Struthio camelus: one gene and its partner. The protein of the gene in region 1 interacts with the protein of each later gene in a pairwise test. Links are inferred from orthologs where the notes say so. Each region holds a gene or a part of one and is shown in the gene's direction. Other genes may lie near its edges. The genes, in order: FHL5 and CREM.

What was found.
Region 2: the proteins of FHL5 (region 1) and CREM interact in a two-hybrid assay, tested with the Homo sapiens proteins (2 studies listed by BioGRID). The link is inferred for Struthio camelus from reciprocal best matches to the Homo sapiens genes FHL5 and CREM.

Annotation. Positions count from the first base shown.
Region 1 is NC_090944.1:53,215,876-53,232,664, forward strand, and holds the start of FHL5 (four and a half LIM domains protein 5), read left to right. Parts: upstream 1-5,133; 5' UTR 5,134-5,266; coding exon 5,267-5,351; intron 5,352-11,336; exon of another isoform or gene 11,337-11,441; intron 11,442-16,789. UniProt on the Homo sapiens protein: May be involved in the regulation of spermatogenesis. Stimulates CREM transcriptional activity in a phosphorylation-independent manner.
Region 2 is NC_090943.1:15,769,343-15,785,455, reverse strand, and holds the start of CREM (cAMP-responsive element modulator), read left to right. Parts: upstream 1-10,044; 5' UTR 10,045-10,138; coding exon 10,139-10,179; intron 10,180-10,835; coding exon 10,836-10,959; intron 10,960-16,113.

The DNA of each region.
Region 1 (16,789 bases):
TATCCAAGTAACAATGTATTCTTTTACATAGAGGCAGAGGCTTATAGTTTTGCTTTTCTGGTGTAGATTTGTAAGGGTTGCAGCACTGTATATAAGCATGTGTATCTCAGTTTCAAAGACCAGTTTTGAAACTATAAGACTAGTATCTAATAGTGTACAAATGAAAGGCCATCTTTACTTTTCTATACAAGTAGTTGATATTTTCAGCTTTTGTATGAACAACAGAGAAATTCAAAATTGTTCACTAGACCACAACAGTAAAAACAATAAGTACAAATAAAAATCTGTAAATCTAAGAGAGGAGACTCCGTACTACTGTGATTTTCTAAATGTACTGTAATCTTATGAAAATCTCTGCACACCCATGCTACTGAAATATCCTGATAATATCCATAATAGCAGCTCATTTAAAAATTGGTAATGGAGACAGAGGAGGTGATATCCTTTAGCATGGATATTTTGGGAGTGGAGAAATACTATTATCCCTGCCAAATTTAACATACACTATGTTCATTCAGTGGACTGATTGAGTTCTCAGTCCGGTTCCTATAGTGGTTAGAAGTATGTGCTTGCCTTCTGTGAGCTGCCTTATCTGAGAGAACTTGTGATGTATTATCCTGAGTTTCTTGAAAATAACTTAAATGTTAACTGTTCAGATCTTTTTTCATAAACTTTATATGCTGAAATCTGTTTGTCTAACCTGAAGAAGCTAAATACTGTTACAGTGTTTCCCTCAAGTTTTTACTAGCTTCATTTTGCATGAATTATATTAAAGGTAAAGTACATCAGAGTTCTGAAAGTATTAATGACATAATTCTCATATGTCAATTATTTCTAACTTATTTTTAAGAGCAGGTCACTTTCAAACACAAACTATCTTAGTATTACGTAACCTTGTATTACTTCCATAACGTCCAATGACTGTTTCTGTAATTTCAGGTTTTTGCATAAAACTAAGTTTGAGTAGTAAAACAAGAAATATAGCTGCTTACTGAAAATCATTCACCCATTATACCAGAATTCTTTGATACCAAAAGCAAATAAATAGTTTGGATTCTCTGTAAGTTGTACTCTGTTTAAATATTCGTCTTTTCCAGCACTGTACATATTCTATAAACTTAAATTCTTAAACAAGCCTGAAATTGCAACAAACAAGTTGACAAGGCCAAATATGGAAACTCAGCAATGGATTAACCAAGGCTAAGTTAATTTTGATAAGGTAAAAATCTGAATTATATACCTATATAAAAATCACTACTGTTCAACGATGTTTACATCAAAGCACTGATCTTTACCGATTATAAGGCAAAAGAGTGGTTTGAATTCCTTTCCTTTGGAGGCAGAAGCAAAGGTAGTAGCTCCTCTTTCCCTGGCTGGAGGCTGTCATAGCTGACAATGAAGGATATTGAGGAGTAAGAGGTGAAAAGTACTGTGGCTGTTTGTTTAAGAAATAAAATTTGCATATAGTGAAAAAGTTTGATTTCTCATTATTTAGCCACAGTAATTATAATGTTCCTATACTGAATGTAAATTGCTTTATACGACATTGATCTATTTTTAAAATAATAATATACCATGTGACGTTCTGTATACAAATATGACATGATTTTAATAATATTAAATGATGGCGTATTAAAATACCTTCTACTGACTTAACCAGTGATTGATGGTCTTGTACTTGCAGCTTTCAAATGGCATTTGGTAATATGCATCATTTGATTTAACATGACTCTTTGAGTATCCCTGTGTTTATTTTGATACTATTAGACAGAGTAATAACGAACATGTAGTGGATTTTGCTCTGTAATGCCTTAGACTTACTAAATTGTAGGTAATAAGTATGAATGATAAAAAATATAGGTTCTTCCAAGTTAAAAAGGAAGCACTAAGATCCAGAAGTGTCCTTTGTCTACTGACAGAATTCTAGGAGACATTGACTCCTGAACCTGCCTAGGTATTTTATTGTCTCTTAGATGTAGAAAGTCAGTCTTTATCAAATAAAGGGTTCTGAAAGAGAAAGAAAAGGAATATACATAATTTCCTGAACATGTTGCTAATTGGTATTTTTCCTCTCCCTAGAATGAATATATGTGGGAGGAAGAGTTTTGTTGACTTAGAAATTCACAAAGTAAAGCTGTCTTTTGTCATATCGAGGAAAATGCAATGCAATGCACAGTGTACAAGTCAACACTTTTGCCTTGGCTTTAAGTAGCAGTGTCAGCCTCTCCTTCTATCCTTTAGCCTGCAGCATTTTTATAGACTCATACTGCTGATATTGAGATACAGATATATATGGTACATATATATACACACAAATACTTATGAATATGCTTCTCATAGCCTTATTTGCTGCTACTCTCAAAAAATTGAAATTATCATCATAAGCACAGGTAGAAAGATGCCTTCCTCAGCAGCAGCCTTTCCTTTGCCTGTTTGTAGCTGGCAAAATGTAACTGTCATAATTTTGGTTATTTGGAAGTCTGCTGGAAATAAGAAAACTGCTGCTCTGTTAGAACTTGCAGCCTTCGTGGTAATTCTCTGCTTTTGCAGTTTCTTTAACAGTCTTTTGGCACAAGTTTCCAAGTAATAGCATTGGGGTTTGTTGTCGGGATAAATCCGTCCTACAGTTTATTCAGTTGCAGCTGCAGTACTTCCGTGCAGAGCACTTCTCTGCATAGACCCATGAGCACGCTACTCATGTATTTGTTGCTACTCGGCAAACACTTTTATATATAAATATATAAAGGATTTTATATTTTTATATATATGTATAAAAATGTGTGTGTATACAAATTGTGTGTGTATGTGTGTGTATAAAAATGTGTGTGTGTATACATATATATAAAAGTAACAGTTGTTTTCCTTAGATCAAGATCTACAAAACAGACTACTGGGTCGGGGTTTGGGGAGTGGTTGTTTGTTTAATAAGTTTAATACTGTTGCAGAAAACATAAGAGTGACTGTACTGGGTATGATCAAAGGTCTATCAAGCCCAGTATCCTGTCTCCAGCAGTGGCCAAAAGTGGACGCCTAGGGAGGAATATAAGAACAAGGCATGTTGTGATGTTTCCCTTGAGTGCTGTTCAAGCCTCGAAATATGTGCTGCTCAAACTTTTTGAATGATGATTGTGCTTTAAACATAAAAATGGCAATGATCTGAAGCTTTTGGATAAACAGAAGGCTTGAGAGCAGGATTCCTTCTCTCTGCTCACCCGAATAACTGAGAACATATTCAGTAAAAGCTGAACATGTTTTCTCAGAAAGAACGGTGATTTTTGTTTTTCTCTTTGAATTGCTGAGGAATGTCATTTTTTTATTTTTTCTTAAGTGGAAGTACCACTTTGAAAAGTTTAAAGAGAAATGCCGTGCTGGTTATTTGGTTGATGAACTCCTAAATTTTTCATGAGAAGCAGCAGCTTAGGTCAAGACAGTTCAGGTTTAGGGACAGATGAGATAGGCAGCCTTCTGTTTCAGGAAGTTCAGGAAGCGATGTGAGTTGTATGAGACATTTAACCGGTATTCTGAAGAAGCAGCAGTATTTATTTTCCTCCTCTTCAACTGTACTGTAATTTACGCCTGTTAGCAAAAATACTAACTTTCTTTTAAATAAACATAAATGTACATATATTCAGAGAAAAATTTGGAAAAGTCTTTGAAGTTTAAGGGTGATAATATACTCAAGGCATCTGTATCTTTTCTCCTGTCTCTGAAAAGAACATACTGTATTAGAAGTATTTCAAAATGTCATTAGCTCTTGACAGATCCATTTGGATAATATTTTTGGGTTGTTCTCACTTGTGAGCTTCAAAAGGTACTTGGTTAAGAGTTGTACTTTCAGATTGTTCTGTTTGGAAGTAAAGGCAAGAAGATGCTATTCACGATCCTCATTCTGGATTCAAAGTCAGATATGAGTGTTGTCCCCTCTTCTCGATCTACAAAAATCTCAGGATTGAGGAATCACCAAAATGCTTGGTCTAAATAAAGCTAATAGTTCAATAGGAGGAAAAAATTCCATCTAGTTTGTGCAGATGAAAATAAGTTTCTGCAGAAATTTAATAAACCAATTAGCCACAAATAGAGATGATGAATTCTCAGCAATAACAATCAAATGATTACAGTCTTAATTGTAAGACATTACGTAGACACAGATAACCTTCAGAAAATGTTTTCCAGGTTTGTCAATTTTATCAAAGGCTTCACACGACATGATACTTGTTTGAACTGTTTAAATGTTTCTTCCTTCTAACTGTGACCAAAAACAGTTCCTACCCACTTGACATTATAGACTAAATTTTTCAGGTCTATTGGCTCTTGGTGGTGGAAAAATCTGCCTGGAGGTCAGCAGTGGTTTAAACCACAACCAGCCATCCTTCTTTTCAGTCTGCTTAACTTCAGCCTGCAAATTTTTCAGCTAAAATGGGTTAAAGGTCTTCACAGAATCCTATACAAAGTATGAGCTCTTCTGTATGCTCTGTGCATGCCATAGGCTGTATGCAGAAGCTGGCTGGCCCCTCTTCTGTCCAAACACGCAGTAGGAGATGACTGCAATTCAGTCTTAGCCAGAACTGAGAAAAACTGAGGAAGACCTACAAGAGGCCAGTAGTACTTACACAGGTGATAATACAATAGGAACAGCTTCCTATGTACTGCGAGACTGGCAAACCTTCCAGCCCAGAAACTGTGTTAGTGGCATCAGAGAAGCTCCCCTGGGTCCCCAAAAATCTTTCCTTAAATTTAAGGAAAGCTTCTCCCTATGCCCCTCTCCCATCTCCGGTATCTTGACACTCAGACATTAGTCATCAGGATTTTTGTTTTTTCCTAAATTACAACTCTAAATCAGGTCTTTCGGATACATTTTAGTCCATGCACAATCAATCTGAGGGTGAATGATAATCCATCTTCCCCTGCCACCCTGCCCCTGTACTAAACAGCTTGGGGTGGGAGGGTTGATTCTTTAATTGCTGGTTTATTTTGTTTTATTTTATGTTATTTTATTTCATTTTATTTCTAAACAGAAGTGCCTTTTTCCTTTTGACAACTATCTGAAATATGCTCCTTTAAGAACCTCCTACGTGGTATGTATTTGTAATTTGTAAACACAAGATGTCAAAGAATGATTTGATTCAGTGGTGAGGCAGCCAGCTATTTGCATGTCATGAGGTCTAAGGGAAACAAACTGACCCTCAGCCTTCTTCCAGGCAGCCAAATTCTAATGGGACCCTCAAATAGCTCTGGCAAAGTATTCTGTTTCTTTTGGACTTACTGAATGCTTGTTTCTGCGAAGAAGTCCAATTATTTCTTCCTTTTATTTTGTTACACAAGTTACCAGGAGAAGCAGCTTGAAACCAGATGTGAGTATTAAGTATTTCCATTTCTCCTTTATGCGATAACGTTTAATTGTGGTAGTGTAACAGGTAACTAATTGAATATTTTAAGCGCTTAAGGAGGAGCTTTTTTCTTCAGATACAAATTACTCATTCCTATGGCTACAGTTTCTTTAAACTATGTGCAGAATTCCACAGTTACATTAAAAATGTTTTAGTTTTGTGTACCAAAACAAGATTCCACATTTTTTCAAATGCACTTGTTTTCTTTTTATTCATTGACTCACTAATTAATCTAGGGGAAGATTGCTCGTTTTTTTTTTTTTCTTCTTTGTAATGATATAAGGATGAATATTATTTACTCTAAAACATCAAAAATGTATATGCTATTTCCTGTGACATTTGAATCATCGTTTTTTTCTCATGGCAAGCTATCATAGCTATTTGGTGTTGTAAGAAAACTCTTTAAATAGTGTATTTTCTGATACGGTAAGTCACTGGTTTCTAGTACAGTTAATTTCACTGTCTAGTATGGATTGTTCTTACTTTTTCTTTGAAGTAAAACCAGTTACCAAGCTGGTGTTTACAGCAAAATTTAGCCGTGTTATCAAATCAAGTATCATTTCAACATTCTCCTTCTGTAAGATATTTTGTTGTGTCTTTTATTTACCACCTTTTTAGGATCATCATCTTGGTCTGGGATTTGAAAGCATGAGAGTAGGACTGAAAGGATGAACCTCTGTTCACTAAAATTGTTCTAGAAATGTCTACCTATATGGCAGAAGTTAAAAAGTGGAAATATTCCATAATTTAAAGTCTCTATATATTAATTGCACTGATACCTGGTTTCTTAAAGGTAATCTTTTTGATAATAAGGATTAAATCAAACTTGGGTTGAACTATCAAATACAATTTATATTTCAATAACATAATTAGTTTTAAATACCGTTTTTTTCTTAACTTTCCCTAATGTCAAAAGATCTTTTTGTGTACTGGAACTTGACATAAAATCTCTTATATTTAAAATACAAGTTTCAGGTGTCTTTCTTGTTTGTGTCTAATATTTTCACCCATATTTTTCTTCTGTTTGTGTCATGAGTTGACATTTCTAGAGTATTTTAACAGAATAGGCTTTAACAGACTTAATATACTGATGTTATAACAGATTGCTGATGGTCTTGTCATGTAATTTTATTACAGTGGCACAAAAGTCACTTCAATTTGAAGTTGCATAATTGGTAGGTGCTTAAAATAACATATTAACCTTCTCGTAATATAAGAGCAAAATCATGAAAGCAAAAGCTATTTGAAAGAAATTCTGATCAATTGTAGGGTATTTCAAGGTTATTTGCAGGCAGTCATTTTCTAGCAAATGAATATTTTTGGTTGACATGGTAAGATATAAGTTTTATGAGCCATATACAAATAAGCCCAGCTTTCTTTTCATCCTTCTTTTTCCTTGTCTGAGTTGTACTTATCCAAAAAAAAAAAAAAAAAAAAGAAGAGTTGAAATCTATTAGTATTGCTTAACCGTGGAAAGACAGGCAGAAATGCAAAGTCTCGACCAGCAGGCTTCTAAATGTCAAGCCTAAAATCAGAGGGTGAAATTCTAACCCCTTTTCAAGGAGGGGTGAAAACCCCTCCTGTGGACTAAACAAGACCTGGATTCTGCTCAAGTCTTTAGATCACCTAAAGCGTAGAACTGACCTTAATTTTTTCTGTACATTTTCCTGTCAGTTAACTGTAGGATGATGTCTTATGTCTAATTCCAGGATATTCTTAAAATTAATGATTTCGGTTCAACGTTCCTATTAAAATTTCTAGAGCCCCAAAGTTTGGAAATGGGAATGACGAAAAGCTGCTCATATTCCATGTTTGCTCCTACAGTAGAATTCATTTTGCTGAGAGCAGGGCGTGTGGTTCTGTTTAGGAAGCTGTGAACTCATTTCATAGGTTTATATTTTCCTATAAAATGTAAGAGGGATGAAATGGGTACAGTTTCATAGAATTACGTAGACATTTCTCCAGAAACACTAAACTGATACAGTGCAAATAAGCTACTATTATTAAAACCTCAAGACATTAAATTTTGTAGCAGAGTTACTGTGAGAGGCAGGACTTTACAACAGCTAGCTAATGTCTCTTTGTTCTCTCTTTAGTAATGGCTTCGTTTCTGCTATGAATCACCCTCAAGAGGAATTTCTCTCTCTCCTTTAACTATAAAGAGCACATTAGTGAATTAGCCTCTGCAGACTTAAGTTAGCTTTTGTGAATAGCACGCGTTCGTCTCTGATATTGCATAGTATACATCAGCTACTATCTCTTCTCCTGGTTTCCTTTTCTTAGACTAAAAGTTTTCTTTGATTCTGCTTCATTACCTCCACGCTAGTAGGTCACTTATCTTCTTAACCAGGCTTGTCTTGAATCTGAATTTGTTCTAGGTCCATATATAAAGACTAGCAAATTCTGCACATCTCAAAATATTATGAGTAGTGGATCTGAAAGGGCTTCTCTTGCTCACTGCTGGCCTTACACTTAATCATTTTTGTAAACCAGAAAAATATTCATTTTTCAATAACCTGTCTTGGTGCATAGATAGTAGAATTGATAGAAAGAATGATTTAGAGACAGAGCATAGCACAAATTAGTGACAGAATACACACAGAGGAGACCTGAATTTAGTTCAAAGTGACTGTCAGCCAGTTGTTCTGTGCTTCGGTCCCCCATCTGTAAAACTGGGTTTGTTATACTGAGGAAAAAAAAAATTAATTCAAAACCACATTATCCAAGGCTGACTGGAGGCAGCCCAGGTTCTCTGGAAAATCCTTAATGATTAGGAACTGTCTCAAATGCTGTGGCCTTAAGAAGTTTAACACAAAACTGGATAAATTTCCCTCAGAATGCCTTGCGTAAGTATTAGTCATATCTCCAGAGTCATTAGGGGCGATTGTAAAGTTCACAACTGGAGCATTTTATTGCCTCAGCTAACTTCAGTAGTGCTTTCTATCCAGCAGTGCTTCAGCTGGAAGTTCTCCACCAGGCAACCTCCACAACCTACAGTACTTGTAACTCTCCATTGCCAGGTCCATGACTGCAGTCTGACGAGCAAAATCCTCTAAAGGCAAAGGCATAACAAGTGTGTGCTTCTCTTCCCACTCCTCCAGGTTTGCTCTCTGACCGTGGGCGAATCAGTTATTTTATTTTGAAAGGCATTAACCTTTCCTGTAGACAAGTATCTCATAACTGTGTTTTAGGTTTGCTTTGTTATTGTTAGAAAAGTTATCTTGAGATCTTTGAAAGGAAGGCTGTATAAATATCTCAGAGTATTAAGCTACAAGTCTATTTATCAAGAGCCCAGTCTTCCTCAAGTGAGCTCCCCAAGCTACTAATTCAGCAACATCAATATTCATTTATGCATTATAACATGAAAAATTGTGCCATCATTAGAGTTCTTCGAATAGCTGGGTTTGTTTTCTATTTGCATGCAGAAAAAAAAAAAGATTAGAGAAAATCTTTCATGTTGAACAGATCTGATTGTGAAAGTTTGTTTAGTTTGGTGCTTGAAAATGGAAGAGCATTGAGAAACATTTCAAATTAAAAGCTCAAAGCATTTTCTTATTTAAAATGCAGTAGCAGAATTCTTAAATTTGTATTTAATCATTTACTTTTGTTTTTTCCCAAAAACATTTACCATATGTAACATAAATAAGCAAAAAGGACTTGAACTGTATTTTTACCTTAGCAGAGTTTCTGCTGCTGCTTACCACTCCCCTCCCACTCAGCCCAGTCTTAACATGCAGCTAATTAGAGTTATGGGCTCTGAGGGTCATCCTGCACCAAAAGTGGTTCGTTCCATTCTAGATTTGCAAAGGTAATTACTTTTCTGTTGCTGTGTCAGGGTTCATGTTATCACTTGAATAGATTCCGTTGTTACCCTATGTCCTTGAATTATATTATCTGATTTTAAAATGATCCTAACTATAAGAAAGGAATTTCTTCATTCCTGACAAATTTGCTCCACCATTCTAAGACTTAAGTGATGATTTTTAATCCTTACGATTTGTCAAAGTTAAATGTTGCCTATTCTGGATTTTCAGATAATCTTTAGCCTTAGTTTTCTGTCCATCAGAACTGGGTAATCCTACACTGGACCCAGCTTTTAGAGAGTATGTATTTATTATTGTAGAAAGAAATCCACTTTCAAACTAATATAGTCCCAAAAAGCAAAAAAGCAACCTTTTCGCATGCCAGGACTTTACAAAAATCCCAGCAGAGCAGTAATGGAAGGGTCAGTAACCTCACATCATAATAAAGTAAGACAGAATACTGAGATCTATTCATTTCAGTGTCTAATTTTAATTCATAGCCACTTTTAGGAAGACAGACTATGTTAAAATAGTAAGAAATATGTTTAAGGTCTGGTACAGAGGTTTTAGGACTTAAGGGAAATGTTAAGATACCCAGTCACATAATTTTTCTGAAGACCTTATCACCCAAGCAGGCCCAGCAGAAAAAGAGGAGAAGTAAAAGAGGCATGAACACTTCAAATGACCTGGCACAAGTCATATAGCAAGTCTCTGGCAGGATATGAGCAGAACTCAGAGCCGAGTCTAAGCACCACTCGATGTTTCTGCTCACACAACACGAGGAGTCAATGCAATGATATATTTTGTCTTGTGGGGAAAGAGGACTCACCTGTTTGAGTTAGGAAAAATCTTCAATTAAGATTTTTATTCAATGAAAATGTGGTGCACAAAACCATATGTTAAACAAACCAATTTTCTCTACACCCAATCCTAGCAACACTCCCTTATTTTCTCTCTCTGCTAAAGGAAGAGCAAAAAGTAAAAAGATCTCCACTCCTGCCTTTCTTCCCATCAACCTCTCCTAAATGGTTTCATGGCCTTCAAAAGTCATCTAGTGAGCTCTCTTCTAGAACTGAGTAAAAATTCAGAGTCAGATATCTATTTCCTGTGCTGGAATGAAACATGTGGATTACTATCAACAGTGAAAACAGGTCATCTGTCATAACTAAGTGTGTCTGTTTGAATATTTTACCCTTTTTTTCCCAGCTCAAAGAGCAGCAGCCTGCCCTTGATGCACCTGCGTAGTAAACTAGCAGGTGTTGCAGCCTTATAGTACATTTAAAACAAATGCAGGGCAAAGAATAAAAGCAAAATATCACCCTGCCATAATTCCATCTATTTAGCAAAATGCACATATGGCCAAATTGTACCAGTTTGTTTCTGCAGTCTTGGTGCAAGTGATGAGACTTGATAACTGAATTGTGCCTAGTGCTTTCCCGGTAAGTATGAGGACACCAACCCTAACATGCAGAGGTAAAGCCTAATCCAGCAGTTACTAAACCGCCTGATAAGACTTCCATGCGTTAAGTGATATTATTCACCTGCATTAATTTACATAGACATACGAGTGTTTCTGGCATCATGGTCCAAGAGAAGACAAAGTACATGTTCATGTAACACTTAGGAGGAAACAAAAGGAAGTTATATAAGACTACTTAAGAAAGTCCACAGTGTGTTTTCGTAGCGGCTGACTGTTTGGCATTCTCCTGAAAACCTTTTTTGCCCTCAGTCTCAGTTATATTCTATAAGCCATTCATTATCATAAAAGCAGGAGAATACAAAGAGCATGGCATCTTTTAGGATTTCTCCAATGGATTAGACCTTCACTGGTTTATCTGCCTACCAGATGCATATGTATGTATATGTATTTTAATAAGACTGTGTTATTATTGCATCTCTGTAGTCCAAAGAGACTGCAATTGTAGAGGACACTTCCTGCTAGTTCTCCTAGGAAAGCCTACTGAGTTAATTGTCAGTAGAAATCCAGAATACCTGGGCAGTCCTGGCTTTGGCATCAGTCTACTATGGGCTCTACTCAATGCTCTGCACAGCATTTCTTATACTATACGTAGCAGTGACTTTTCAGACTGTGATTCCTGTGGCCACAAATTGTCTGCAGAACTGTCATCTGTGTTTCCAATGTAAAGCTTGGTAAAAAGGTGGCAACCAGACGGATGGAGCCCTGCAAGCAACAGAGCTGCCTGTTTGTCAGGCCTAAAAGTCTAAATACCTGGGAACGGTGAAAACTAAGGTAGGGATCTTGCATACCAATACTTAACACTAGCCTTTGTTTTTCCGAGGCTGTAATGTTACCTAGCCAGTGACAAGCCTTGAACAGGGCTGCCATCAGAAACTTTCAGATTTGGTTCATTTTGATAAGATTTTGTATTTTTATTACAAAGTGCTGCAGCTGGGTTTATTTTTTTCCTCAGAAAACTAGGTCAGGTTGGCACAGTACAGTTGGGAGAGAAAAGTAAAAGGCTGCGCTGCTGCAGCAGATTCTGTATTACCACTTGGGGATATTATGTTTGGTTTGGTGTTGGGGGAGGAGGGTATTTTTAACTGGGTAATGAAAGTCCTTTCCAATTTTAGCTTGCTATAAAACATATATGCTGCTGCTGCTCATCTTTTTCTTACTGCTCATTTCATTTCTTAAAGCAGTTCTAAAGTAGGTCACAGGCTTTTAAAGAACCCAGCTAGAAAAAGTATTATGCAGTGGGTTGCTGTTATTTTTTAATAGGATTTTAATTCACGTAGAATACCCATTCTCAAGACACATGGTACTCTTCACCGTCCTTTCTCTCCCTGAAATAAAACGTAAGGGTGGGAGAAATCCATTCTCTGCAGCTGATGCATCTACAAGTAAAAGGCATGGCCTATTTTCTGTTAAAATCTTAAAGGTTGCAGTCAGCAGCAATGTTGCATGTTGAAGCTCTGTTACCTCTTGTTAGCAGTAAAGCTGTTTTGTTTCATGGCCCCTAAACATTTCAGTTCTCACCGTATCAGAGACATCATTTCCCATTGCTTTTGTTTTCCCCAAGAAAGCTTTCAGTCCCGAAGGCAAGCTTGTTTCTCTATCAGGTAGATGTATTCCTGCCCAGCAGTGTTAGTCTCTCACTAAGATGCTGCTATTTTCTTGGTGGACTTTTGCGCAGCTGTGCAAGCATGTTGGCCTCTCCTTAGGTCATTAGTGCCTTGAACAAAGGCAAATTGGGAGTAGGATTTTTGATGTGCAGATGCTGTCGTAGCAGAGATCTCTTAATCTAATCTGCATGCTGTGGACAAACTCGCTGGCAAAACTCTCAGATCAGGACTTCACCGTCTGTCTTCATTTATAACTTTGGCTTTCTTTTTTACTGAAGCACTTGAAGTATTTTCCACAATTAGAGGATTGTAGGTGAGGGTGGAGGCAGGAAAAGGGGCAAGAGGAAGCCAGGCAGAAAGGGAAGAAGTGGTGAGGAGGAGAATTTCTGTTCATGGCCAAAGTTCAGCTGTGACCTCAGAAATCAATTCTCATCGTGAACAATTCAGCCCAGAATTATTAATGTTTCTTTTCCTCTTTTGAAAACATTTAGAGCTTGCTAGGGCTTAGTTTGATAGTAGTAAAAAATACATTAATATTTCCATGCAAGTACAACTTTCCCAGCCTTCCCACCATTTTATTTATGAGGCAACTATATCCCAGCATAAACATCCTTTTGCTAATGAGTTTCTTGTCTCAAAATGAGACAGATTCTTTAACTTAGAACGCCATCTTTTTCCTAGGCTAAAATGTACAGCTAGTTAGAAAATTGCTCCTCTCAATGAACATGTTATCTTTATATCAAAAAATCACAATTTAAGATTTTACTAAAACAGTTTTCTGTCAAAAATTTAAGATTTATTTTTAGACCAAAATTATCTTTTGTTTCACTTTTGAGAGTCCTACTTTTCTGAAGCAAACTGACATTTTCCGTGGAGTTTTGTTTATTCAAAAACATCTGATTAAAATGCTTCAAAATTTAAAAAATAAAACTATTTAAGTAGTCTGGATCAAGCTTAGTGCAAAACTCCTTTTCTTCCAAGAATACCCTGATGCAGTAACAACTTTTAATTTATATTAGTTTTGGAAACTTATAAATCCTCATGTTTCAGAGCATGTATCTAACCCCCTAAATGGGATTAGGAAACTTTCCTCATGAGCAGGTTGTTGCCTAGACATCTTTTGTAGGGTTCCTTTCGCCTTCCTTAAGATGGTTTTGCCTGCTCAACTGAAAAAGATATATAAAACTATAGTCATTTTCTTTCACACATTCTTTAAATCATTGCTACATCATTTTTAGATCTGCTTTCCCTCCTGAGTTCTAGGCAGGAGCATATTTAGTGTAGGCTGTCAGTGCCCAAAACACTTCTTTATTCCTCATTGTTCCATATACAGCAATGCTGAGCAATGGAGCAGAGCGCTGCCTCCGCTTCCTTCGAAGCCAAGTCAGCAGAATAGTCAAGATTATTGAAGGCATCCAAACCTGCATATATGTTCTGTTGCCTGATCCGTAACAATTAACACCAGTTAACCCAGAAACCCTTTCCATCAAAAAGACCTCAGCTTTTAGGCAGTGGTCATGTCTAAATCAGGCTGGTTGACAAAGGACATGTAGATGATACTTCACCCTCCACGACAATGCAGAAAATATTGTCAGTGGAACTGGCATTCTCTCTTAATTTCACACATGACTGGGACTTGAGATTGCTGGAAGTGATTTTTCTCTGTGGAAAAGCTGACTCTACCGAAACTGGCCTTTTCTTTGACAGAAATTGGCTGAAATCACTAGTTTCCTTGGCCTTTTCCTCCTGTAACCAGTTTCGTGCACTTTCTCTGAATATAATTTCATTAAGGAGGATTTAGAGACCATATTTACCAGATACTACATATCAGGGAACATTAAAATTAATGGTAATGAATCTCCTAATTACTTGCATATTTTTGAACATCCCACCTCTTGCTCATCTGTCAAAATGTGTGCTTTGTTGGACTTGCTCCAGTAGCTCCATGTCTCTCTTGTACTGGGGAGCCCAGCACTGGACACAGTACTCCAGATGTGGCCTCACCAGGGCTGAGCAAAGGGGAAGGCTCACCTCCCTCAACCTGCTGGCAGTGCTTTTCCTAATGCAGTCCAAGAGGCTGTTGGCTTTCTTTGCTGCAAGGGCACATTGCTAGCTCATGGTCCACTCAGTGTCCACTGGGACCCCAAGGGCCTTTTCTGCCAAGCTGCTTTGCAGCTGGTCATCTTCCAACCTGTACTGGTGCATAAGGTTATTTCTGCCTAGGTGCAGAACCCTGCACTTGCCTTTGTTGCACTTCACGAGTTACCTCTCTGCCCATCTCTCCAGACTGCTCAGGTCCCCCTGAATGGCAGCACAGTCTTCTGGTGTGTCAGCCACTCCCCCCAGCATTGTATCATCAGCAAACTTGCTGAGGAGGCACTCTGTCCCTTCCTCCAGGTCATGGATGAATAAATTAGTCTTGGCCCCAGAACTGATCCCTGGGGGACATCATTGCCGACATTACTTTAAATTCCTTTAGGATTGTACCTAGCATTCACTAATGAGTTCCTATCCACATCTTAGGCCTACATCTGCTTTGCTTTCAGGACTCGATGCATTTTGAACTTGGGCACCTGAAACAAGTCAATTTTAAACAGTTTAAGTGTCTTTTAAGTATTTAACTTATCAGCTAGTTTGGTTGTTGTTTTTCACATGGGACTTTTGAGCCAGATGTAATCCTTAAACCTGTGAAATGCCTAAATGTATATAATATGACTTGCATATAATCACAGAATCACAGAATCGTTTAGGTTGGAAGGGACCTCTGGAGATCATCTAGTCCAACCTCCCTGCTCAAGCAGGGTCACCTAGAGCATATTGCCCAGGATCACATCCAGACGGCTTTTGAATATCTCCAGCGAAGGAAACTCCACCACCTCTCTGGGCAACCTGTTCCAGCGCTCTGTCACCCTCACAGTGAAGAAGTTTTTTCTCAGGTTCAGATGGAACTTCCTGTGGTTCAGTTTGTGCCCGTTGCCTCTTGTCCTGTTGCTGGGCACCACGGAGAAGAGGCTGGCCTCATCCTCTTGACAACCTCCCTTCAGATACTTGTACACATTTATGAGATCCTCTCTCAATCTTCTCTTGTCCAGCATGAACAGGCCCAGCTCTTGCAGTCTTTCTTCATAGGAGAGGTGCTCCAGCCCTCTAATCATCTTGGTAGCCCTCCGCTGGACTCTCTCCAGGAGTGCCATGTCTCTCTTGTACTGGGGAGCCCAGCACTGGACACAGTACTCCAGGTGAGGCCTCACCAGGGCTGAGGAGAGGGGCAGGATCACCTCCCTCCACCTGCTGGCAACACTCTGCCTAGTGCACCCCAGGAGACCGTCGGCCTTCTTGGCCACAAGGGCACACTGCTGGCTCATGTTTAACTTGTTGTCCACCAGCACTCCCAGGTCCTTCTCTGCAGAGCTGCTCTCCAGCAGGTCAACGCCCAGCCGGGACTGGTGCATGGGATTATTCCTGCCTAGGTGCAGGACCCTGCACTTGCCTTGGTTGAACTGCAGGAGGTTCCTCTCCGCCCACCTCTCCAGCCTGTCCAGGTCCCTCTGAATGGCAGCACAGTCTTCTGGTGTGTTAGCCTCTCCCCCCCAGTTTCGAATCATCAGCAAACTTGCTGAGGGTGCACTCTGTGCCTTCATCCAGGTCATTGATGAATACACTGAACAAGACTGGGCCCAGGACTGACCCCTGGGGGACACCACTAGCCACAGGCCTCCAACTTGACTCTGCGCCATTCACCACAACCCTCTGAGCTCGGCCATCCAGCCAGTTCTCAAGCCACCTCACTGTCCACTCATCTAGCCCACACTTCCTGAGCTTACCTAGGAGGATGTGATGGGAGACAGTGTCCAAAGCCTTGCTGAAGTCCAGGCAGACAACAGCCACTGCTCTCCCCTCCTCTACCCAGCCAGTCATTCCATCACAGAAGGCTATCAGATTGGTCCAGCATGATTTCCCTTTGGTGAATCCATGCTGACTACTCCTGATCACCTTCTTGTCCTCCACATGCTTAGTGAGGACCTCCAGGAGGAGCTGTTCCATCACCTTTCCAGGGATGGAGGTGAGGCTGACAGGCCTGTAGTTTCCTGGCTCCTCCTTCTTGCCCTTTTGGAAGACGGGGGTGACATTGGCTTTCTTCCAGTCCTCAGGCACCTCTCCTGATCTCCAGGACCTTTCCAAGAGGATGGAGAGTGGCCTAGCGATAACATCCGCCAGCTCCCTCAGCACTCGTGGGTGCATCCCATCGGGGCCCATGGATTTATGGATGTCGAGTTTGGACAAAAGATCTCTAACCTGATCCTCCTCCACCAAGGGAGAGTCTTCCTTTCTCCAGCCTTCCTCTCTTGTCTCCAAGGTCTGGAATTCCTCAGGACTGGCCTTAGCAGTGAGGATAATAATATGACAGAGGATACTGATAGGCTCATAATGTAATGCGCTCTATAATGAATATATTATGAGAATGTTCTGGCTGTTCCAGAATATTTGAAAAAATGTAAAAAAAAATTCAGGTAA
Region 2 (16,113 bases), on another chromosome or scaffold:
AACAAATATTGTGAGAGGGAGAAGTTTGTTTCTTTGTGTTTACTAGGTACAGTGTTTTGGAGAAAAGAGTCATGTAAATCTTGAGTGGTTTTACTGCAGTGCTAAAAACAGAAAAGCCAGGATATTGTTATCCGACATCTGCTGCGTAGGGTTTGTATACACAAATGTAGACAGAAGAAAAACATTAGAGCCCACAGACTGCGCAAACATTAACGATGACAACCTTAGGCAATACAATTTAGCTTTGAGAGAAGGTTGAATTTGCAGAACTGTTGTTTGCTTGCAGAGCAAGCAGTATCTATCTTAAGTAAAGCATGATAAAAAGGAAACTTTTTAGTGCCCAATTCTAAACATCAACTTCCAAGTGAAACTAGACATCATTCCACTCTGATTCAAGTACAGTGAGAGCTTCCTCAGTTTTCAGAATAAATGATGTAAGAAAAACGTATTTGCCTTTCATGTAGTTCAGTCAAACACATTTTTCATACTTACTGCAGACTGAAACCTCCAGAGATATGCAAAAGTAGCAGATAAATAGAACGAGAAAAAACAATTCTTAAGTAAACCAGCTGCCAAAATATCATCATCGAGGAGATCAGTTTGGTGAGCCAGCATTTAATAAAAGAGAAAAGATGGAAATTTCCTCTTCAGCCGCAAAAATGTGTAGCTTTAGCCCTTATATGTGCACTACTGGGAGATTAAGAACTAAATGACTGTTGACATGAATACGAAAGCTCTGTGGCATAGATATACTGCGAATAGTTTGATAATCTCTTCTTATATTGAATTATAGAATACTTTTTTTTTCATTTATATCTCTCCCTTCTCTGTATACCTGCCAGACAACTTTGCTTTGTGGGTAGCGAGCTCCGTTTATTCATAGTTGCTTTTGCTTTTTATCCTTCCTTCTTTCATTTGTAGCCATCAGCAAAGCCACTACCCTCAAAAAAAAAAAAAAAAGCCTGCTCCCTCACCACTAACAACCTACAAGTGGTAGAAAATCTATTCTATAGTCAGACAGTCAACTAAATGCAAATTCTTAGCATTTTTAGTCATTTTCATTATTTATTTTTGAATGAGTATGAAATCTTCCTATATTTGCCTTTTACTGCATTCTCTGAATGGTTGATGTCATTCACCTGTCCTCTGTGTGAAGCAGATTCTCTGTAATTCTCTCTCTGTAATAATTCTGTGTTAGCACCTGCCACACCATTACTTTGGCTTACCTTTGCAAAGCATGACTGCATAGCAGCGGACAGATTGTGGCATACACATTTCTATGGCAAAGGAGAACCACTCAATTCACATTCAGCTATTTGAGCCTTTTTTAAAGCTTTCAGGAAGCTTTTCATACTGGTTATATTTCCAGCGTAGTTCTCCTATGTTGCCTGTTCAAAAGACTTTAATAGTAGAACTTTATACACTTCTATTTTGAATAGAGCTCATGCAGTTCTTTGGAAAGAGACGTAAGTTTATATCCATTCTAACTGCACAAAACAATGTTTTATACAAACGTTATACTTTCCACCAAAGGGTTCAAAGACCTCTACAAACAGTAATACATCGTAAATAGTTAAGAACATCGTGACGTACATACTACCTCCGTTTCATAGGTGACGAAATTACTGTATCAGGAAAGTTTATTATTCAATAGAAGAAATTTTAAAAATTTCATGTAGTAGATCTCAACTGCCATTTTGTTTTTCTGCTGCAGCAGAAATACAATTATTTGTGCATCTTTAACTCCCTAGTCAATCATTAAGACATTTCTACCCCCTTACACTATTGTTAAGTATTCATAATACTATTTTTCGATTATAATCACTTCTTTCATAGAATGATTATGCAACAAAAAAGTATGTAACAATTCAATTAGAAACATGAGGACAATTTAGAATGGCAAGTTATCTGCCTGACTATTGAGTACTTAAAGGTTTCCCCAGTTATTTTTTCCTTATGATTCCACAAGTACTAGTAAGCTGACCTATGAGTGGGGGACAAGAAAACATTTCTCATTTCTCCCTCTCATAAAGCTTTTCTCACAGACATCAAACCAAATGTCAAACTGCACATTCACAAATCATTTTAGCTGTTTGTGTTGTTTAAGCAGTGATAAATAATGTGAACAGTTTAGCTCCTAGTGTACTCTGGTTTACTTTGGCATGTTTTGGTGCATTGATAAATATGCCTTTCAAACTATCAGACACATGAGATAGTAGCTAATGGCTTGTGATTCCTGTTTAGTCTTTATAAAAACAGATTTTGATTACAAATCCTAAAAAACTGTTGAATTAAAACATATATCAAAATGTACTTCAGACTGTGCACCTGTGCTTTGAAGTGTGAAACATTGTTGCATTATTGTAAGCTATTGTCTAAAATCACATCATTAGGAACCCAAGAAAAATCAAAGTAAAGGTATTTAATAAAATAAATGTAAATAGAGTAGTATTTGGTACTCATTTCAATGACAATAACCCCATAACCTTCCAAATAAATATAACCTGCCATGTACATGAAGTAATGCAAACCAGAGCTAGCTGAGGTACTGCAAAGGCTCACAGTTGTTAGCTCAGCTTGCTAGCTGAGCTGTACCTGTGACTCAACAAGGCTTTTCCTTCCTACGCTTCTGGCACCCACAAAAGTCAAGCCAGTATCTTACCACAGCACTAATTTATTGGCAGTATCAGTTTTTGGAGGCTCCAGCAACGGGCAATAGTGAAACATTCTTAAAAATAAAGATATTTGTAATTTGCTCTTAATCTACTCACATAGTCTCTCAATCTTACGTCCACCATAAAATAAGAGTTTAGGAAAGGAAACGTAACTAAATACTTAAAAGCCTACAGATGTGTAATATTCTTATAAACCTATATAAATACACCTGGAAAAAAGCAATTTACAAAGGTTGCAACTTCAACAATATTGTTCAGCATTTGCCTTTCTAAGGACATATTGTTCCTGTTTCTAAGCCAACTGAAACGCCTATTTTTCTTAGCATTCCTGGCAGTTTATCAAAAAAGGACAGGTAAATTAAATGATCAGTTTTATATACACTCGTTACAGTGAACTTGTTGCTTGCCTAATCCAGTCTCTTATTTCAGACAGCTCGGGATTCTGTTGCATCATTAGCGTATTGGCTACTTCTGACTTTCATCATATTTACAAAATAAGTTGTGAAAACAATGGCTGTATGTTATGACCACACTTTCCTGTGACAGCCCTACAAGTTCTGCTTTTGTCCTTCTACCCTTTTAGAGGCAGTGGAAGAGCAGAGATAGTATTTAATGACCAGCTAAACCTTGAGTGGTCCATGAAGAGATCTGTGATGCAATTAATTTACGGTAATTCAGTCTCTTCCAGATTCACATGCACACTGAGGAATTGTATGACCTATGACAATAAGTATAAGCATGCAGTCTTTAAGGAGGAAAAGATGTAGACCTCAAACATCAGATTGCATACGTCAAGAAAAATATAAAACATTGTGAAAAGAGCTTACCAGTGAGCTTCGTTAAGTGTTAAGTGAAAATAAATTTACTGGTCATCTTTTAGCTAATCATTCAATGGGAACTATTTCTGGCATAATAAACAACCTGTAAGTTTTTTTTTCTTTTGCAAAGAATATTTAGGGCTTTTCAGATGTCATTGTCTGAACAGAGGCTTTCATTTACTCCACAAGTTGCATTTCATGATTCCTCAATGTCTAGGAACGTGTAGGTGTGGAATGGTCTAAGAAGTGTGCATGTAACACACCGAACGGTTATTAAGATGAAAAAAAAAATCACAGAACAATCATTTAAACAACAGTCAAGACAGCAAACAATGGAATCATTTCTATAACATGTTACACGCAGTATTATTCCAATTAGAAAGCTAGTTTCTTCATTTTTGTCAGTCTAACCCATATCATTTTCAAATGTCTGAGCCCTAACTAAAAATAAATCTATAAGCAATATTTACATAAGCAGCATGTCCCTTTTCCATCTTTACCGAGGCCAGCTATGAACTTTTTTTTTTTTTACAAGAAGATTTTATGTAAGCGTCTCATAAGATTGTAACCGAAATACACTAAACTCTCAAGTAAATTCTTCAAAAATGTATTAAAAAGAAGTGGGGAAGACCCAGCATGAAAAATCAGTTGTTTGAGGATGATGTAAATGGTGTTCATATTGATTTATTATGCACTGGTGAAGTATTTATTTTCTGCACAAAGAACACGACCATTTCTTTTGGTGGCAGTTCCAGTTCAAGTGGCTTCAGCTCCCTGCTCATTCCTACTCAAATATAAACCTCTCAGCTAAGGCAATCCTTCTCTTCCTATGACTGCGCAGACCAGACTTGAGAAGTGATGCAGGTTGAAAGTAACTTTTTTCTAGATACATTGCTTTTAACAGAGATTACTTGGCAGGTAGGCTTTTGGTTACACAAGAACTTGTATCAAAATAACCGAGGTAGCGGGAACAAGATGTGAGCGGCAACTGAGGGCTGCTTAACTTTGCATTGCTCTTTGGGTTACATTCTCTTCTAAGATCTTCTCACTTGCCACACTAAAGCCTAAAAACAAACAAAAATAACTGTTTCTGAAGTGCTGATAGTTCCTTGAATTTGCAGGAGATTGGATGTAGTATCAGACTGGATGTTTCAGGTTAGGAAGAAAAAGGGACTTCAGGCAGGCAGGCATTCTGCTGGCAGTGAAGTGCCTGGCTTTCCAATTTATATTCAGAACTATCTTGTGTAAATGATGATGATCATAAAGGATCCTATCCTGTGTGGTCTTCATATTGATTGCCTTTTGTCCTAGCATTTGAAATTAAATTGGTTCACATCAGGGATTGATACCCACTTAATTAAAACAATTTTAGAATGATTGCAGTAAAGCGGTGACTTTTGTAACACAGGTTGGTTTGTCCTGAGCTAACAACTACTACCCCACAACCTTGCCACAGTGACAATGTGGCACTTTCTGTTATTACTCACACCTGCAAGGCCAGACTAAACCCAGGCAGAAGTTTACCAACTTCAGTAAGCCATGTCAAGTACGCAAGAGCTGAAGCTGTTTAATCATCCTTGCATTGCTAGAAACTAAACCCCTTTGACAGGTCACTCCTTCTTCAACTATGAGTTTTCTCAAACTGGAGCTTCAATATTCAGTTTATCATTTATATTCTGTATTTCATTAAAATAGAGAGAAAAGAGGTATAAATAAAGATAAGTCAAGAAAGTTTCAAAGCTGCTTGCAACTTATTTGAAAAATAATAGGAAATAACTCCTTTGCCAACTTTACACTGCAAGCGTTCTATGGAAATTCTCAATTTGTTTATAAATAACTGACTCTGGTGGTTTTCTCCCTCACTGTTTGTAATCAGATTTCCACTTTCGCAAATATTTCTTACATGTTACTAGAAACACAACATCTACTTCTGGCTTTATGACTATGCTAAACAAAGATGGAATTTCTTCCAAAGGCATCACGAGTTATTCTTAGCATTTTTATGCTTGGCTGTTCATTTGATTATGTTAATATTCAGAAAATATTTTCTAATTCACCAGATGTTTTCTACTAAAGCATGTCCTTTGATGAACGCATATGTTTGTACTTAATGCGTCAACTATAAAGCAAAAAGGTTATGAGTATAAATCAAGGGAAGAGCAACCCGTATTTAAAACTCTGAAAAGACACATAAAAACATAGGCAACAAACAAAAGGAGGGAAACAGAACTCAAAACAGGAAGGGGGTGTTATTTGATATTTCAGCAAAGGAAATGAAGACTGAAAACTTTCATAAGCAACAGCAACATTATAAACATTGCATTATTTGCATTGGATTATGATTTTGATAGTTGTGTTAAATAAATTCTGTGAGGCCAATAATTAACTTGAGTGGTCAAAGGCAAAAGCCTTTGCAGATAAATGTACTTTACTTCTTCTTGAAGTCTGAAGCCACAAATACTTATCTGCTTTCTGAACACAGAAAATCAATAGGTTCTCTTCACTCCATGAAAAGACTGAATACTTGACCTGTATGGGCATATTACTAAAGCTGACATACATACCCTCCAGTTGCCTAATTGCAGTCAGTCCTGTGAAATTAACTGGGGCCTTTCGTTCTTATTAGACACACTATGGAACAGATTCTCACGCACACAGACACAAAAGGATAAGTACATAAAGTACTTGAGAACACGTGCAGACAAGTAATACTGTAACAGACATGCTGTAGTATAACCCCCTCTCACACTGCTTCGTGAGGTGCTGAACCGTAGTTCCAAGACACAGGACGCTAAGACACCAGGAGCAGCGCGGTCCATGACCCAAGCCTTTGTGGAACGCAAGCGTGAGTAAAACCGGGGATACAGGCCTTGCGCTTCCTGGAACAAGACACATCTCGCGGAGGCCGAACGTGACTCACGCCATGCAAACGTATCCTTTGGCAGCGAGGGGGGGAAAACATGAGCTGCTCTTTATCTCTTAGCCGCTTCTGATGTATTCAGCCAAACAAACACAGAGCTTGATGTCACGCTCCTAAAGGAAAAACACACACACTCTTAGGAATAACTGATTTAGGGGACGTGCGTTCGGGAAACAGGGGAATTTAAGCCCGGGCGCCAGCTCCCAGGGCCGGCTTGCGGCGTGCCGGCCCCTCGGCACGTTTCCTCGCTCCTCCGGCGGCCCCGGAGGGCTGGTGACCGCCGGGGCCGCGCACCGCCCCAAGCGCCGGGCCCCGCTCCGCTCCGCTCCGCTCCGCTCGGCGCGGGGAGGCCGCTCCCCACCGGCCGCGGCGGCCCAGCCGCTCGCCCGCCCGCCCGCCCTTATCGGCGGCGCCCAGCCGGCACGCAGAGGAGCCGCGCCACACCCCTGCGACCGCACACCGCAAGCGCGACCCCGGCCGGGGCGCGGGGCCTCCGCCGCCCTCCGCTCGCGGCGCCCCGGGGAGGGCCGAGGCGGCCCGGCGCCCCCGGCTGCAACCGGCTGCGCACGGCGGAGGGGCGGCGCGCCCCTCCCCCACGCGGGCAGGATGGCTCCGAAGCCCGCAGCACCGCCGCGTCCCGCCCCTCCCCCCCGCCCAGCCAATGAGGAGCGCTGCCGGCAGCCTCGCCGCGGCGGTTGGCCAGGCCGCCAGCCGTTGGGCGCCCTGTGGCCAATCGGCGCTGGCGGCCGCAGCCGCCGAAGGGCAGGCTCCTCCTCCTTCCGCGGCCGCTGGGGCTGGGAGTCGGCGCAGACGCCATTTCCTCAGCGCCCCCGCAGCGGCGCGGCTGCATCAGCGCTGACGTGAGGCCGACGTGCGGCTCCGCCCGGCCCAATCCCCCCCACCCCCCTGTGACGGGGGCATCACGTACAGGGCGGCGGGTGAGTGCGGGAGGGGGCGGGGACACGTGTGCGCGCAGCCCGACCCCCTGCGGGGCCGGCGGCGGGGCAGCGCCGAGGGCAGCGGCCGGCCCGGCCCAGCCCAGCCCGGCCCAGCCCAGCCCAGCCCAGGCGGCGCGGGGGCGGGGGGCGCTCTGCCGCGCTGCCCGGCCCCGCCGCCGGGAGCGCGCTGGGGTGGGCGGCCGGGAGCGCGCCCGCCGCCAGGGCCGCGCCGCGCCCGCCCGCTCGCCCGGCTGGGCTCTGCACGGCTCGGTCGGGGGGCCCCGTCTGCGGCGCGGCCCGGGTGCTGCGGGGCCGGCCGGGGCGAGGGAGAGCGGCCCGACTCGCCTGCCGGCGGCCCCGGCGCCGCTCGGGCGAGGGAGGGCCCGGGGCAGCGTGCCTCGCCGCTGCTGTCAGAGGGCGCCGGGCCCGGGGCCTGCAGGCGGCCTGACGGGGGGGGAGCGCTGCGGGCGGGGGGCCCCGGCGCCTGGTCGGGCGGGCCTGGGCCGCCCCTGCCCGTTGGGTTTCCCGAGTTGGGACAGGGCAGGTGGCCGGGGAGCATCGCGGCCGGCTGCGCGAGCTCTGCGGCTGGCGTGAACTGCGGGTTTTCTGTGTGCATCCTGCGCTGCCGCGCCGACGTTTTAGCTGAGGGCGGGGAGGAGCTGCGCGTCTTGCAGCAGCTAAGTGATCCCGCAGATGCTGACACACAGGAGCGATCCTCTTCTCTGTTCGGTGGCTGTTGCTTGGGCTGTGTTTCTGCCACACGTGGACTGTTGTGTCCTGTTTACAGCAGGCTCCGTACTGTCTCGGCAGGATTATTGAGATGGTATGTCCAGTGTGACAGGCAGTGTGCTTGGTCTTACGGTAGTGGCAGTTTGGGTTTTTTCAGTTTTTTGAGGGTGTTGGTAAAGTCTATATCCTAAGATGAGGCGAAAAAAAGGGAGACGCGTTTAAGAGCATAGGAGATGCAAGAAAGTAACTGTTGTGCTAATACTGAACACTTCACAGAAGTTGCTGTCAGAGCCTGATCTGCTGCAGTGTTGCTCATTTTACCTCGTTGAACACGGTCACCACCTGGAACTTCACATAGCAGTGTAGCAAAATGGGTTTTAGATTTCATAATTTAGACTTCCTACTTAAAACACAAAGCTCTTCCGAAACTAATACATGCTGAGAGTTTCCACACTGTGGATGGGGGCACCGCTTAATGCCAAGCAGCTGTTTGTAGATTCACATCCTTGCTTTTTAGTAACTTCCCTGTGAGTAAAAGCCTTGAAGAAGATATCTAGAGCAAGCCCTGAAACATATTTCTTAGCTTTTTCCTTACAATTTCTTTGGTAGTAAGCCATCTTTGTAAACAGTTTCTGATGTATAAAGTAATGCTAAAATAAAGAAATTATCTTTAAAATGACTCTGGGTATTTAATTAGAAAAGTCATATGTATTCAGCAGTGTGAATTTCAGCACCAATTTGCTTTCACAGTTGAAGCTCACCAACAGACATTAAATACGATACTTTAAAAAAAATGCCTTGTAAAACAAACTGCAGTATGGAGAGGGGAAAAAAAGATTTTTTGGTATGTTTTGATAGGGATGCTGTGCTTAGCTTACAGTCTATGGAGAAAAAATACTGAAAGGGTCATATATCTAGATTTAAGTGACTTCTGACCTTTTGGGTCACGTGGACAACTTTTTCCTTTAGCTGTTGCTGTCCCCTAATATTGTCCTGTCAGTGATGCTATTTTTATCAGCTGAAGAAGTTTTTGATGAAATACGTTTTCTAACCCTGAGATTTATTTTGGAAAGGAGAGTAGAAAGTTATCCTGCTCTAAGGAGAGAGCATTTGCAAGCCATGGCAGTAAAACTGTTGCAGATACCCAAGAGAGGCAAAGGCATAGAATGTATAACTTCTATTGGCAGAAAAAAGAACTAATGTTAGCCCTTGAAATCTTAAATTGTATAAAACCTGGCTGCCAACAGCTGTAGTACTACAGCAGCTATGGTCAGTGAAGTGCTTAAATTGCAAGGTCCTGCTTGCAAAGCAGTCTCTTAAATCTGGTCGGTACAGTACTGTTAGGGGATTACAAGTTTGCAGTATGCCTCTCTATATCGTTTGACTAGATTCCTTTTTGAACATACAGGTAAACTGATGTTTTCATGCCTTCATTTGAGGCAAAAAGGGTGGGGGTTTGGGATATTGTGTTTTGTTTTATTTTTTTTTGTCTCCTCAAAAAATCGATGTGGAATATTCTGTAACACACTGCAGCAAAAAAGTTGAGCTTGTTTAATTTGATCTAATGCAGTTGACATGTAACATGTAGGTCTTAATTCAGGAGCCAGGAGCAGACTTCCTTTCTGTCTATTTTATATCCTAGTGTAAGACCTGAGAAGAAACTTCAGTAGCTGTCAGCCAGATGAAATAGCTGAAAATACACTTCAGACTGGGTTGCGGTGCCCTAGTTACAGTAACTGAACTTGCTGATCCTAATCTAAGAAAGATTTTTTTTTTTCTTGCCTCTTAAAAACCCACAACTGTATCGCTTCTCCCTCCTGTGGTCCTGATCTCTTGTATAAAGTAAGTTATGTCAGACAGAGCCGTGGGGCGGGCCTGGGGGACACGTGAGCCCACGGGACCCTCTGGCGGGTCCCCTGCTGCACCCTGGGGACGGGTTGCTAGGGCCCCGTTGTGACATCAGCTGCGGGGCGCTGCACCTGCAGTGCCTCTTCTGGCAGCAGAGAAGGGGGCTGGAGAGAACCACGCTCTTGTTTTAGATCACACACATCTTCCATTATGACCAAGTGTGTCAAGAAATACGGAAAAACAACTGGAAGGTAATAGTATCTTTATACAGCAGATAGGTTTGGAGGCTCGCTCTATGGAGCTTAAACTCACAGGTTTAAGTGAGGGTTATGGAGTTGTTTATCCTATGAAACTTAGCCTAATTTTAAAACCTGCAAAGCAAGAAGAGTGGTCAGTCCGTGGGTCTTGAGCCACACATAGTTCACAGACAATTCAAGTACAAATCCTAGCCTGGGATGGTATCACATGAGCTTCGAGCGTGGTGTGCTGGCATGTGGCTGCTGGGCATCCTGAGCCCGGCCTCCTTGGGGACGAGGTCCTAGGGAGCAGCTGCAGCCAGTGCTGGCAGTTGCTCTGGATCCTGCTCTCCGCTCTGGTTAGCCTTGCTCTGTGGTGGGACCCTGGCACTCTGTTGTCACCTCTCTCTAGAGAACCGTTCCCAGAGCTGCCTTTCCTTGCAGCTTTTCATAGTACGTGTGTTTCGAGCCTCTGACTGTATGAAGATCTGAACATGGAGGAATGGGAAAGTATGACTTTGATTAATCTTATAGTTTTGAGAGAGAGGTTTTCTGTTCATTGTTAGCTTACTACTCCAAATATAAAACAGCTTGAAATTGCTCTTTTCTCCCTAGGTGCCTAATATCCCCCGTGTACTAGATTATTTATGTATGTATGTACTTACCTTTAGACAGATGACCATGGAAATGGTTGAATCGCAACAGGATGGAAATGCAGTGGATTCTATGCGAGAGAGAGATGCTGTTCATGTTCAGAATCAGCCAGGCCAAAGTCAGATTTCCCCCATATCTCAGGTAAGCTGAAATGGAAAGATGAGAAGAATCAGCACAAGTGATATTCAGAACTGTTAACGGTTTTTTTTAATGCTGACCGTTAACTTACCAATTTTAAATCATGTTTCGTAAGTTCTTTTTGTTATTTAATAGGGAAAATGGTAAAGGTATACTGAAAACTATGCCTGCTGTGTTTAACATAGTGCTACTATTACATCAAAGCAAAGTAACACTTCTAGGAGATTGGACTACTACAATGAGAAGTAGACATGATTTTTTTTCATTTGCTGAGACGATTATATGTATTATGCAAGTGGGAATAGGGTCCTAATAGGTTGAGAAGGCTGCAAGATCAAGCATAGTTAAAACATTTTTGTATCTCAAAGATGTGTTGTATAACAAAAATGAAAAAAGAATGAAAATAATTATGGTTCTTTCCTAGTTCCAGGTATTGTACAGAATGGGTTTAGTCCTGCAAGTACTATTTTAATATGTGCTGTTCTGTTTCACCCCTGCGTGCCTGATGGCAATGTCTCGTTTTCTAGAAATACATTCCACTTGTTCTGTGTAGTTGTACTTGTTTTTTTGGCAGTAAATGGGAAAAAAAGAATAACAGTTCTTAAACATTAAAAATACTTCTCTGAAATATTCAGCCCATGAGAGAAATAATGTTATACATGCCAGTACTAAGATTTGTAATGTCAGGAAACTACATAGATCCATTTACAAGGATTTTTAGAAACCCTTTGTCAAGCCTTTGGAACTGTTTAAAAAATCATCTTATGGAGTTTCTTCAGCATGCGATGTTACTCAGTAAGATTCCTGTCCAAATGAGGAGAGGGATCCTCAGTTATTTCATACCATATATCTGGAATGTTAAATGCCTGATTCTCATTATAGGTGTATTTTCAAGGATGAATGCTACTGCTTTGTGTTGGGTCTTTGTGTGCAAAGTAGGCCTCCAAATACTTTTGAAACTTTTTTCATTGATGTTTTTTGTCATTTACAGCATTTAGTTGTGGTTTTGGTACCTGCAGCACTGGGAGTCTTTTTTTTTTTTTTTCTTCTCCTTTAAGAATGGAGCGTGAAACAAGAATTTTATTTGTTTTGCTCTGTTCATGTTACTCTCTCATTTCTTCCTTTCTGATGGTTCAGACTTAAAGTAATACTTACTTATAGTAATAGTGTGACTTCTATGTAAAATCTGTGAGTTTGTGCAATAGTCTCTGAAGAAAACTACTGTGAATCCTGTCATTTGGGACTTTTAACATTGAACTAGACAAAGCTGTAGGAGGACTTCTGTGGGGTCCCCAAGGAGAGCCCTTTTCATGTTTATCTGCCCTCGATACTTGAGTACTTTCTGGTGGTGACTGATGCGGTTCAGCCACGCTGGGCATGTGCCTGTTTCGGAGGTAACGCTTTTAACTGAATCTCAGTCAAATACCAGTAAAAGGAAACAAATGGGGCAGCTTGGAGTTTGCTTCCATCTGAAGGCTCAGGAGAGCAAAGAGATGTGGGAACATCATTACATGTGGGAATTCCTCTTTTTAGTCAGAAGGCTTGAAGAGCCGACTCTGACTTTTTCCAGGCCTGCTCGGCTCCCGTAACTCGAAGGCCTCGGCTGCCCGGAAAAGCAGAGCTCATGGAATTGGGCTATTTTGGAAAAAACAGTGACAGGGAGTCCAAGGGCCATGGGGCGGGGGCTGCTGGGGCCAGGCCGGGCCACGCGTCCTCCTCCCACCGCCAGCACCGCCGCGGGGGGCCTGCGGTGCTGCCGTTGCCTCGGGGCAGCTTGGGGTCGGCACCGTGGTGCCTGCGAGGCTGCCTTTCGTCTGCTGCCTTTCGTCTGCTGCTGCGGAGGAAAGGGGGACGTCGTCGTTCCCTAGCTAGGTCTCTTTGGCTTACGATGAGGAGGACCATGCTAGCGTGCCTTCCTGCCCGGCAGGCTCCGAAGGTGAGGCACTGTGTTCTAGGTGAGAGCTAGACTGGCTGAAGACGTTTGCCACCCCGCGAGGCAGGGACCCCATGGAGGAATGTCACCTCTCCGCCTCTGCCAGGCGCGGGACGGGAAACTGTCTGTGTTTCTGAGCGATTTGGGCTGTGCTGGCCCAGCGCACGCGTGTTCGGAGCGGTGCGGAAGGGCGCCAAGAGCTCCTTCGCTCTCTCTTTGGCCTCTGGAGGAGCACTGAGAAGAGCAGGCAGCCATTTAAAGTGCCTGGCAAGTAGCTTGCTCCAACTGGTAAGCCTTTTTCCTCACTAATTTTCTTGCAACTGTGCAGGAACAGAGACAGGAAGGATGGCTTGGCTCTTACTGAGTGGCGAAAAAAGCCTACTCGCTACAACTGAGGGTTGCTGCGCAGACGTTGGGGTGGTTGTTGGTGGTTGTTTTTTAACTGGATATTTTTTCAACATTGGTTTTGTTCAGTCAGAAGTAAAGCATTTTAATGGGTTATCTTTTAATATTCAGTTTGCAGCTTTCTGTGTATTGCTTTGGCCGGGGAAAGAGTAGCAAAATGACGAAGCATACAATTGCATAGGAGCTTATATCTATGTATAGATAAATATACACACATTAGATATTATATATTTATGTATGTGTATATGTTTGATTTATATATTGTTTTCCTGGAGTTCCGGCTTTTTAGAGAAATACTCGTCCTTTATTTTGAAAAGGGGGGACAAGTTGTTCAATAAGATGATAATATCCGGAGAGCGGACACTGTTTTGTGTTGAAGCATTCCTGATGCCTCCCCTTGGAAACTAACGACCCCGTTGGGCTGTAGGACTGTGGCGTAATTAGATGGCCTCCAGTGCTAAAGATTTGCTGTTATGAGTTATTAGTAGAGAAAAGGCTGCAGTAGGGTTTTTTCTAGTGTGTGTAAAAAATGGTTATATTCTCCTGCAATTCTTTTTTGTGGTGAAAGTAAAATTCTGTTTTTTGCAAAAGTTAGCAAATTATAACATAGGAAAAATAACATGCCCGTTTGGTCCATTGAGGCAAAATTGACAATTTTTGTCTTTAAAGAGTTATTTCTGTAATAACATTAATGTAGAACAAGATGGCATCTGTGGTTGAATTTCTTGCATCCTTTATAATAAGGAATAAATAACAATTATTTATAACAATGATAAATGCGTCAAGATTGTATTGTTTTGGTGATCCACGCATCAAAAGAATTATGTAAAAATTTTAATTTGTAAAAGTATTTAATAGTTTTTTGTCTTTAGAAGCTGAAGTGTATAGAGTAACTGTGTAGAAGCTTCAAGCCTTCTCTTTAGGGAAGACTAGAGCTTTGAGGGGGAAAATTTCTCAACTGGTACTTAACCAGGTCCCATGGGTTCCATCTCATATGCATTGCTGTTATATTAATACAGAGTGGGCTGGTTTTTAAGAAGTTAATTTGGACTTTATAAATAGTCACATAATATTGATCATCATCAAACTTATATCTTGAAACTGTTGCATGTGCATTGCTATTTGGAGAGAGATCGGTTGCTCCTTTTATAGTACTTCTTAGAGGCCTCATTGCACTCTGCCTTATGCTGTGCTCAGTTACATTAATAGATATAATACAAAAAATAAGAGGATTGTACTTTGACCTTTTTGAGTTCTGACAAAGTACTTTTTTTTTTTTTTTCTTCTTCTTCTCAATCCTACACGTTTTTGATGGGTCCCTCTTTGAATCACTTTTTGGCTTTGTCGTGTCCTATCTGTTAGCAGAGCTACGTCTGCTGTCTTGGTCTGAGAAATCATCTGTTGACCTCTTAGTGTTTGCCCTGGACCAAGTGTGGGTCAGGATTTACAAAGTGATAACTGCTGTTGGAGAGAGCTGTGGGAGCTTTCTGGATGGGTGCCTTCTGGAGCCTGGAGTACGTAGCCATTGCAAGTTGGGACTGCTTCTATTTAGCGCTTCAGAGGTATCTTCCCAGTGGGTTCTCAGCACCAAACTTTACTTTACATATTGCTCGTGAGAAACCGAGCACCATGGAAGTTTGCCACACTCTTGGTCATATTGCTTTAAAGCTAGCCCAGCCAAACACAGGTCCAGAGCATCTGGCAAAGTTGGTGTTAAAGGTTTATGCACCTGCTGCCTTGTCACTGTTTTGTTTGTGCCTCAAGTGTATCCAGTCACTAGATGGCTGAAAGTAGCTTAACCTTGTCTTCCTTAAAACTAGGTGCTTCCTCTTTGACATTAGCGTTGGAATTGACCAAAACTCCCCTGGCTTCAGCTTTTCATCATAGGGGCTACTCAGAGGTGTCTGAGTGTGGTGAGTCCTTGTACTCTTCTATCAGGTGAATCCAGGATGGGTTTGCTTTGTATGTACTTTTCTAGTAGTACTTTTTGTGTACTTCTGGAATCTGCACAGTATGTGGATTCTACGCCTGAGAGGGAAATCCAATGGAGTTGGGCACCGTGTAGCTCATGGTATCCAATGTTCCCAGCACAAAGAGGTTGGAAGCAAGTATAACCTCTGTAGCCCTCTATAGGGAAAAGTTACCTGACCTTGAGTGACAAGGGGTGCATATATCCACAATATAACTTTTCAGATCTTCCGTGCATACTGAGGTCAGATAACTCATAAATAACCTTTCTGTTTGAACGAATGCATGCCTCAGCATGAAGATGATTCTTGATCTTTTTACTTGCTGCTTTACTCTCTAGTTTTTCAAGACGGAGGCACATATATTTCCTAATATACAAAGTATGAGACCAGGCCACCATGACAGAATGTGTGGTTGGTAATTTTGAAGCCATTAAGCTTGACCGTTGCACACGTAGGAGTTTAGACCCCCAACTAACATTACAAGATCCTAGCTCTCATTGCCGTTGCCAGGGAGAAAACCCTTACACCATCTAACCAGAGGCTTAGTGAGTTAAGCTTCTCCCTGGCCTCCATGTTGCTGAGTTGCTTCTATGGGATGTTTTCAGTCATTGTCCTAGACTGCCCTTGAAATAATGATATTATAGCTAGCATTGCTCATCGTTAATGTGGGAAAGTAACTTTTTTGCCAAGGCTGCTTCAGTCAGCATTTATGCGTGAGTAACCTGATAGCCTCAAATGTCAAAAGGTTCTAGTATTTCAGTTAATGCAGGAGGATGCAATTTGAAAATAATGCAGAGTGAAATGTGAATAAAAGATGTTTTAACAATTTTAATATTTATAAAGAGATGC